Linked DNA regions of Cricetulus griseus. The protein of the gene in region 2 interacts with the protein of the main gene of each other region in a pairwise test. Links are inferred from orthologs where the notes say so. Each region holds a gene or a part of one and is shown on either strand. Other genes may lie near its edges.

Region 1 (4,098 bases), on a different chromosome or scaffold from region 2:
TCCTACTCACACAGGGTCAGGCCAGCTGAGCTCTGGATAAAATGATGCCCTTAGAGCACTTGTGCAAGGTGAATTGGTGGCACATATGCACACAATGCCCAGAAGGTGGGGCCAATGCAGCCCAGACAGAACTCAATCAGGGCTTGCTAGGACATAGGCCCCAAGAGCCACACCCACAACTAAAGCAAGCCTTGTGGGCCAACTCAGCGTTTTTACCTATGATTTGGCAGAGTTAATGATGACTCTGGGCTGTAAGAGTGTTCTTAAAGTACCTCACCGCCAGGGTAGTCTATATTAATAACCTCACACCCCAGGGGAGGCTATATTGATAACCACAGGCTGGTCTATATTGCTAACACTAGAATCAGTAAAGGTCCTTAGCTAAAATTGATTCAAAAAAGAGCTTCTTTACTTTTTGCAGACTTGAAACATTGTTTCAGCATGTCTTTCAGAGAAGGTCCAAATAGGCCTCCCTGAATGCAAGAGACCACACACACACCCCTACAAAGAGTGAATAAATATTTTAAATCTTGGTGTTTGATCATTAATATTTCTAGCTTTGACCTGAAAAATCAAAACCTGGATATAATTTTTTTCTATCCACACAAGCTTGGAGATAACAGCAAATATAACTCACCTCTTTGACTATATTATGTGCTTCTTCAGCATTGAAGCCAACCTAAAGAGAAAACACGATAAAACTGCTTTCAGTAAGGCTTCCCTTTATTTATAGATATGGCGAGATACAGGATGCCCTCAGCTGGCCTAAGAAAGTGATAGTGACAGAAGACCACAGTGCTAGGGACATCAGGTCTCCTGAGTTGCTAACCCTGCTCCCTGTAGTTTCAGATTCATTATGATTGGGCAGGCCATACGCAAATACCATTTTGAAAAGTGCTTTCACAACAGCGCTTCTAATGAACATTCTAGATAATCATTGCATTAGCAAAGCTCAAGAAATTAGCAGGCAGTAGCTATGATTTCTATTGTGTGCTATCAGTATACAGGAAATCATTTCAGGTAGATCAAGTGGCCCATAAAAAAAGAGTATGCTAAATTGTCATTGCCAATTTTATTTTCAACTGATATGAGACAAACCCACTGCTTTTCCAAATTAAAGATTATGGCAATACTCTGCCATTCAAAATAATGTCACTTTAATTGTATAAGTTGGTCTCTCATTTTTGGGGTAGCAGCTTGTTACAATCGTGGGTTAATTGCAATTTTCAATGATACCTAAGTGTCCTTAAGTGTAAAATTAGGTTACGTGATAAGAACAAAATATAAACCAGGATGCTTTAGTTAATATATGATTTCCAAAAGCCATTATGCAACTTAAAACTAGTTGAAATAAGTAAATTCTAAAGTTATGTTTTAAGTATAGATTTTTCATATTTTAACTCTACTAATTATCCTATAAAATTTCCCACCCCCTACAAACTTAGAGGAGCTTTGAAAAGAGGTCTCATATTTTAGACCTGTTATAGTCATTTTTGCTTCAAAATCACACCCAAAATTGGCCTAAGAAATAAATGATGCACATTTCATTACAATTTGGAATGTTTAGTTGGCCAGGAAAACACGAATAATGTATGTTGGTTTTCCATCTTTTTTTCTGGTGCTGGGGATGGAACTCAGGGCTTCTAATGTGCTAATCAAGCACTCTACCTATGAGCTATCTCTCCATTCCTATTTCTTTTAAAATTACATGTATTTAGGAAGTAGTGCAGAAAAGATTCCCTTGCACCCTTGCTAAGAGGTAAATCTGAGAAAGAGCTAACCATGTAATTTGGGGGACAAGTCCTTAATTCTAACTTTAGTATGTGACTGACCTATACATATGCATGCTCTCTGCAACACAGATTCTTCTGCAGAAACTCACCCTTTGGACAAGCCCTTTACAAAGATCATATTACATTGTGCCTGCACCATCTCATCTTTCATTTTCTTGTATCACTCACCAGTGGCTACCACTGGACAGAAAATGTCTGTCTACTCCGTCCTTGTAAACTCTTATAGGTTGTGGGGCAATTCAACAGGCCTCATCCTGAAATATGGGCTGAAGTGTAAAGTCAGACACCTGGGTTCCAATGGAACATTGGTCACTCCTAGCAGTTTTAATTTAGGACCTGTCACTTGGTCGCCATGAAAAGTCAGAGTTCCCATCAGTAACAGGAAAATCACTGACATCATAGAGTTCTGGTGAGGCTTAGGGAAACCTGAATCAGTGAGCAAGGGCTCTTAATTCTTAAAGCACTTCCTCTAGTCGTGCCTGGGGAGAGTTCCCAAGACCAGAGCCACCTTGCAGCACCGGCGGCTCAAGGAGACCCAAAAGGGTGGAGGAAACAGAGAAAAACCGGTTTCCCAGGCCCAGATCGCAGACGGGCGGGGCTCGCCAACGCCCGCCCAGGCACCTCAAGTTAGGCCTCCCCCTTACACCGACTGGGTCCTCCTAGACCCTGCAGACTGCCCCCGAGAGCTTTCTGTCACCCAGGCCATCGCGATGACCAATTAGCCCACCCTCAGGCTTTCAGGGTTGGGGAGACAGAGAGCCGAGGGGCAAGAAAGATCCCGGTCCTGCGGAGCAGACTCAGGTTCACGGGATTCCGCATCCCAACTCTGCAAGCATTAAGAGACCACCCGATAGCGTCCCCATAACCAGGGCGAGGGGCGCTTCCCGGCTCTGGAGGGGCGGTACCTCGTCACAGGGCCGGTGGTACTCCTCCATGGTGGCTTTGGCAGTCCCCGGGGGCGGAGCAAAGCTCTGGTCGAGAGCTCAGCAGCGGCTCACAGACCTCCCATGAGGCCCCGCCTCCACTTCTGGCCCAGGGCTTTTGTCTACGTAGGCCCCGCCTTTGTGTCGCACTGAAGCAACCTTCCAAGGACGGGAGGGGGTGGGGGCCAAAGGTCAGGGGGGAGGGGCTTTGGTTGAGTTGATCCTCTTAACGCAGCTACGGGTAGCTCCTAGGCCTAGAATGCACATCTGACCATGCCTGTCTTCTGAAAGTAAAGAGCTGGAACAGCATCTGTGGGGATTTGTTAGGGTGACCTTGTGTCAGCCAGGCTAGATTCAGCACAAGTGATTTAGGTATCACTGCTGTGGTCCTATGCACACAATTTTCATCCACAGCTATCCAGCAAATGAATGTAGCAAGTGAACAAACATCCGAATTCAATTTTCTCAAATGGTAGACAATAGCCTCTATTTTGTAACTAGTTATAAGGATCAAAAAGATACTCTACACAACTAAAGTTGATGCTCCTCTTCTTTCAAGACTTTTTTTTAAAAAAGAAATATAAAACTTTTGAAACAGGAGCAAATGCCCTAAATTGAATTATAAACCTTAGCAGGAGCACTCTGTTTACATTTATTTTAGGACTACTAAATTGTGGCTGATTCTGAGATTTTCTTCAAATTCCAAGTAACTGAGATTTGCACTCCCTTTGTCCCCGTATTAAAGATGCAGCTAGAATGCAGAGATTTTCAATGACTTGCCCAAAGCCTTACATACAGAATGTGTTAGAAGAGGTCTATCAGTTCAAATACTATATTCTGATAGCAAAGCTCAAGGGCTTCAACACTACTGTGAGTTTCCTGTTACTGCTATAATAGATAACCACAGATACAATGGTTTAAAGCAACAAAATATCATTTCATAATTTTCGAGGTATACGTGCTAACCACATCCACAAAAATGCTTTTTGCCATGCAAGTTAACTAGTGCATTCCCAGGGTCTGGGATTCAAATGTGGATGTGTTTGGTATAGAGCAACATTCAGCCCACTACAGTGACTTCTATTTTGTTCTCCAGTAGCAAAGTCAGAAGGCTCATTAGTTTTCTAATCCCTTTCTCTTATTTTACAAGTAAACCAGGAGTTAAAGAGAGATGAAGTGACTTGTAAAGCCTATACAGCTGTTAACTGAACCCTTGGGTTCATTAATCCCAGGTCCCCCAATTCACCACTCTCTATGTAAGAACTTAGAATCAAATAGAGCTGTTAACTTGATGGCATGGGTTTTGTTTTAATGGTTCTCTATTATGGCTCATGCAGGAGTACTGGAAAAAATTGTAATTGGGGCTGAAGAGAAAACTCAGC
Region 2 (3,649 bases):
TCTGGTCAATAGAGAGGCAGGATCAAGGATAGGCAGGGCTGGCAGGCAGAGAGTATAAATAGAAGGAGAAACGAGGAAGAAGAGCAACGAGAAAACAAAGAGAGGAAGACATCGTGGGCCAGTAACCCAGCCATCCAGACAGCCACAGAGTAAGAAGGAAAGTAAGATACACAGAAGTAAGAAAGAAAAAAGCCCACAGGGAAAAAGTAGAGGAGATAGAAACAAGCCAAGCAAAGCTGGACATTTATAAATAAGAATAAGCCTCCATGTGTATTTATTTGGGAGCTAGGTGGCTGGCCCCCCAAAAAAGCCAAAAGAGTAAAACATCTCACTACACTTCTGGTTTCTACATGCATGGCACCTACCTGCAAACACAAAAAACACACATCACACACACAAACATACAAAGATATTAGCTCAAAAACTAACCTTGAAATGCCAGGTCCCTAAAGGTCATTGTCACACTAAAATACATTTTCTGTAGCAGCACCCAACACAGAACTACATTACTTAAGTAAGCATTAAATGCTTTCTGATGTATAACTAGATCATTCTCAGTATCTCTACACAGTCTACTTGTCTAATATAACTATCAAAATGAATAACCCAGGAAAAGAACAAGACCAAGTGAAATGACTGTCAAGAGAGGCAGCCAGGATTATGCCTCTTACTGATTTGAGAGAATACTATAGATTTCTCTTCCTGCTCCTTTGCTTTTGAGTACTAGTGATATAACTTTGACTTGGTATTATCTTTCCCTAGCCTACAAAAAGGAGCTCACAGTTAAGATTAGGAAATACTCATCTTCAAGTTTAACATAGTATGGTGAATAGTAAGTTACTCATTTAAATTAGAAAATTCAATTTGGTAGCTTGGTTTGTGTTAGTAGGTATTAATCTTGATTTCTCAAACAAATAAAATAACTATACATAATATATCTGGGAAAAAAAGGAAATCCAAGCAAATGATAAGATTAATGTTTTTGAGACAAAGAACATATGCAAATGATATCTAACCAATACACTGAGCTCAGATATATCTAAGCTCAACACCCATAAGTAGATATACTTACCAATAGGGGAATCTGTAGTTAGCCCCATGCTTTGAAGCAGTGCCTCAGCTTCTCTTCTTTTCTTTTCAAGATCAGATTCTTCTTGCATAGAAACAGCAGCTTCCTTCTTCTGATCAGTCTAAATGTTTTAAATTAGAAATTCAAGTTTATGTATAACACACTCCTATTTATACAAATATTTTATTTAAAATTTTTAATTTTTATTTACATTATGTGTATAGTGTTTTGCTTGAATGTTATATATGTGCACCACGTTTGCCTGGTGCCCATGGATGCCAAAACAAGAAGCTGTGTCCCCCCCACCCCCTGCACCTCCCACCGGACTAGAGCTGTCAATGTTTGTGAGCTGCCATTTGGGTACTGGGAGTCAAACCCATTCCCCTAAGAGAGCAGTCAGTGCAACTGACCACTGAGGCATCTCTCCAGTCCCATATAAAAGTATTTTAAAATCAAAGTTATAACTACAAACTTTTAGAATAAAATTAGTTTTTAATATGAAGTTCTTTTTATAAATCATCATCACTGGATCGATGTTTATATAATATATATAATCAAGGCATTTCCACAAATATATTTTCAAAAAGGCTGGGAATGGTAGTTCATGCCTAGAATCCCAGAATTCAGTGGGCAGAGAATTTGCCCAGTTCATGGATAGCCTGGTCTACATATAAGTTCCAGATCTGCCAAGGCTACATGGCAAGAGTCTGTCTTAAAATGCATAAATAACATTTTAAAAAGCAAGTGCATTTTTAAAAAGCAGTCAACTTCAAATTCTCTATAGTATTGACACCAAGGACAGGAATCATGGAAGTCTCCAACCCTAGTGGTACAAAAGCTTAGATATAAGTGTGGCAGAAGGGAAAAATTAGAGGAAATTAAGATATAAGTAAATAGACAATTTGCTTTGTTGAAAAAAACCCAAAAGAACCATTTTTAAAAATTTCAATGAGTTTATATAAAGAATTTTATCAAAAACTCTTCTAAAGAAGCTGAAGAGATGACTCATAGTTGAGAGTCCACACTGCTCTTGCACAGGACCCATGTTCAATCCCCAGCACCCATGTCTGGCAACTCACAACACCTTTAACTCCAGCTGTTAAACTCTCTTCTGGACTCACACAGCGGTAATTAAAAAAAAAAAAAAAATCTAGAGAAAACTCATTTTTTAAGTTTTTATTATTATTTTATGTTTTTTTTTTTTTCCCCCATGCTATGCATGTTGGTCTCAACTCTATGGACTTTCGAGATCTTCCTATCTAAATCTCCCAAGTAGCTAGGGTTGCAAGCAAGTGCCACTAAGGCCAGCTTTCAGGTCATATTTTAGTAACAAAAACAAACACATATCTGGGACAATTAAAACCAATTTTTTTTTTTAAGTAACACAAAACATTTGTGTTACAAAATTTTTTACCAACTTTTTTGTTGTTGTTGTTTTGTTTTTTTCAAGATAGGGTTTCTCTCTGTAGCTTTGGCTGTCCTGGAACTTGCTCTGTAGACCAGGCTGGCCTCAAACTCGGAACTCTGCCTCCCAAGTTCTGGGATTAAAGGTGTGCACTACCACACCCAGCTGCCAACTTTTATTTTAGCCATTTATATATAATTTTAGCAAAATCTTCCAGCTACACTGGACAAATCTCAACATTTTTAGAGTAAAGTTTAAGCTTTCAGTGAAAAGCTTTCCAAGTAGACAACTATTACTTATATTGAATGAATTTTACCAGTCACAATATTTTTGTATCACATTAACTTATTTTTATCAGAATACAGCAAAAGAGACGATGTTATCAAGCTGATGCCTCACTGTGTGCAATATAGGAGACTCGCTGCTTATTGTTTCATCACGTTTTAAAGATTTTAAGTTAAAAATCAATCACATAACCATTATTCCTTAGAGGCCACTTACGGACACCTGTAAAGAATAAAAATCAACTTTGCTTTCACTATTGAATAGTTTAAGGTTATAAATACTATTTGAATCTACTCTGCCATTAGCTACTAATCAAATATCTAATGCAAAGTTTCAACCTTTTTTCTGTATATCACAGAAAGGTGGGGGGGGGGCGACAGGAAACTGTTCAATTACAGTCATGGCAATGCTGCACATAACTTTTAAGTCACTTTTCTGCCAATGCTCTTTCTCTAGTTCCTGAGAGATATCTGCTAGTCTTGTTGTAACCCTGGCATTTACATACATAAACTTTGTCCAACAGGCACACTTAGGTCAAGTTATGGTATACTGGCCATTTGAAATCATCTGTGATACAGGTAAACAAATCTTCCTCAAGAGCTGCAATAGAGACTTAATGTATAAATGTTAATGCAGGACAAGTAAAATATGTCCAGCTCAGAGCTAATGTATATTTGTAATATTTATATATTACAGTATGTGGTAAGTAAAATCAGAAGATTAAAGTAGCTTATTGATACTATCAAATCTACTGCTCAGTAAATATATTTCCGTGACTATCTCACAATAAACATTAAGTATATCCAAATCCTCTACTCAAACTGTTATATATAGCTCAGTTTGCCAGGATATTATTCTAGCAAATTAGCAAAAGTATTTACAAAATGAAT

The links.
Region 1: the proteins of Dync1i2 (region 2) and Dynlt3 interact in binary tests that used the Homo sapiens proteins (3 or more experiments, as listed by UniProt). The two-hybrid records come from large-scale screens. The link is inferred for Cricetulus griseus from reciprocal best matches to the Homo sapiens genes DYNC1I2 and DYNLT3.

What each region holds. Positions count from the first base shown.
Region 1 is NC_048604.1:115,453,034-115,457,131, forward strand, and holds the start of Dynlt3 (dynein light chain Tctex-type 3), read right to left. Parts: upstream 2,844-4,098; 5' UTR 2,729-2,843; coding exon 2,699-2,728; intron 680-2,698; coding exon 638-679; intron 1-637. UniProt on the Homo sapiens protein: Acts as one of several non-catalytic accessory components of the cytoplasmic dynein 1 complex that are thought to be involved in linking dynein to cargos and to adapter proteins that regulate dynein function.
Region 2 is NC_048599.1:103,968,116-103,971,764, forward strand, and holds part of Dync1i2 (cytoplasmic dynein 1 intermediate chain 2), read right to left. Parts: intron 1,191-3,649; coding exon 1,073-1,190; intron 1-1,072. UniProt on the Homo sapiens protein: Acts as one of several non-catalytic accessory components of the cytoplasmic dynein 1 complex that are thought to be involved in linking dynein to cargos and to adapter proteins that regulate dynein function.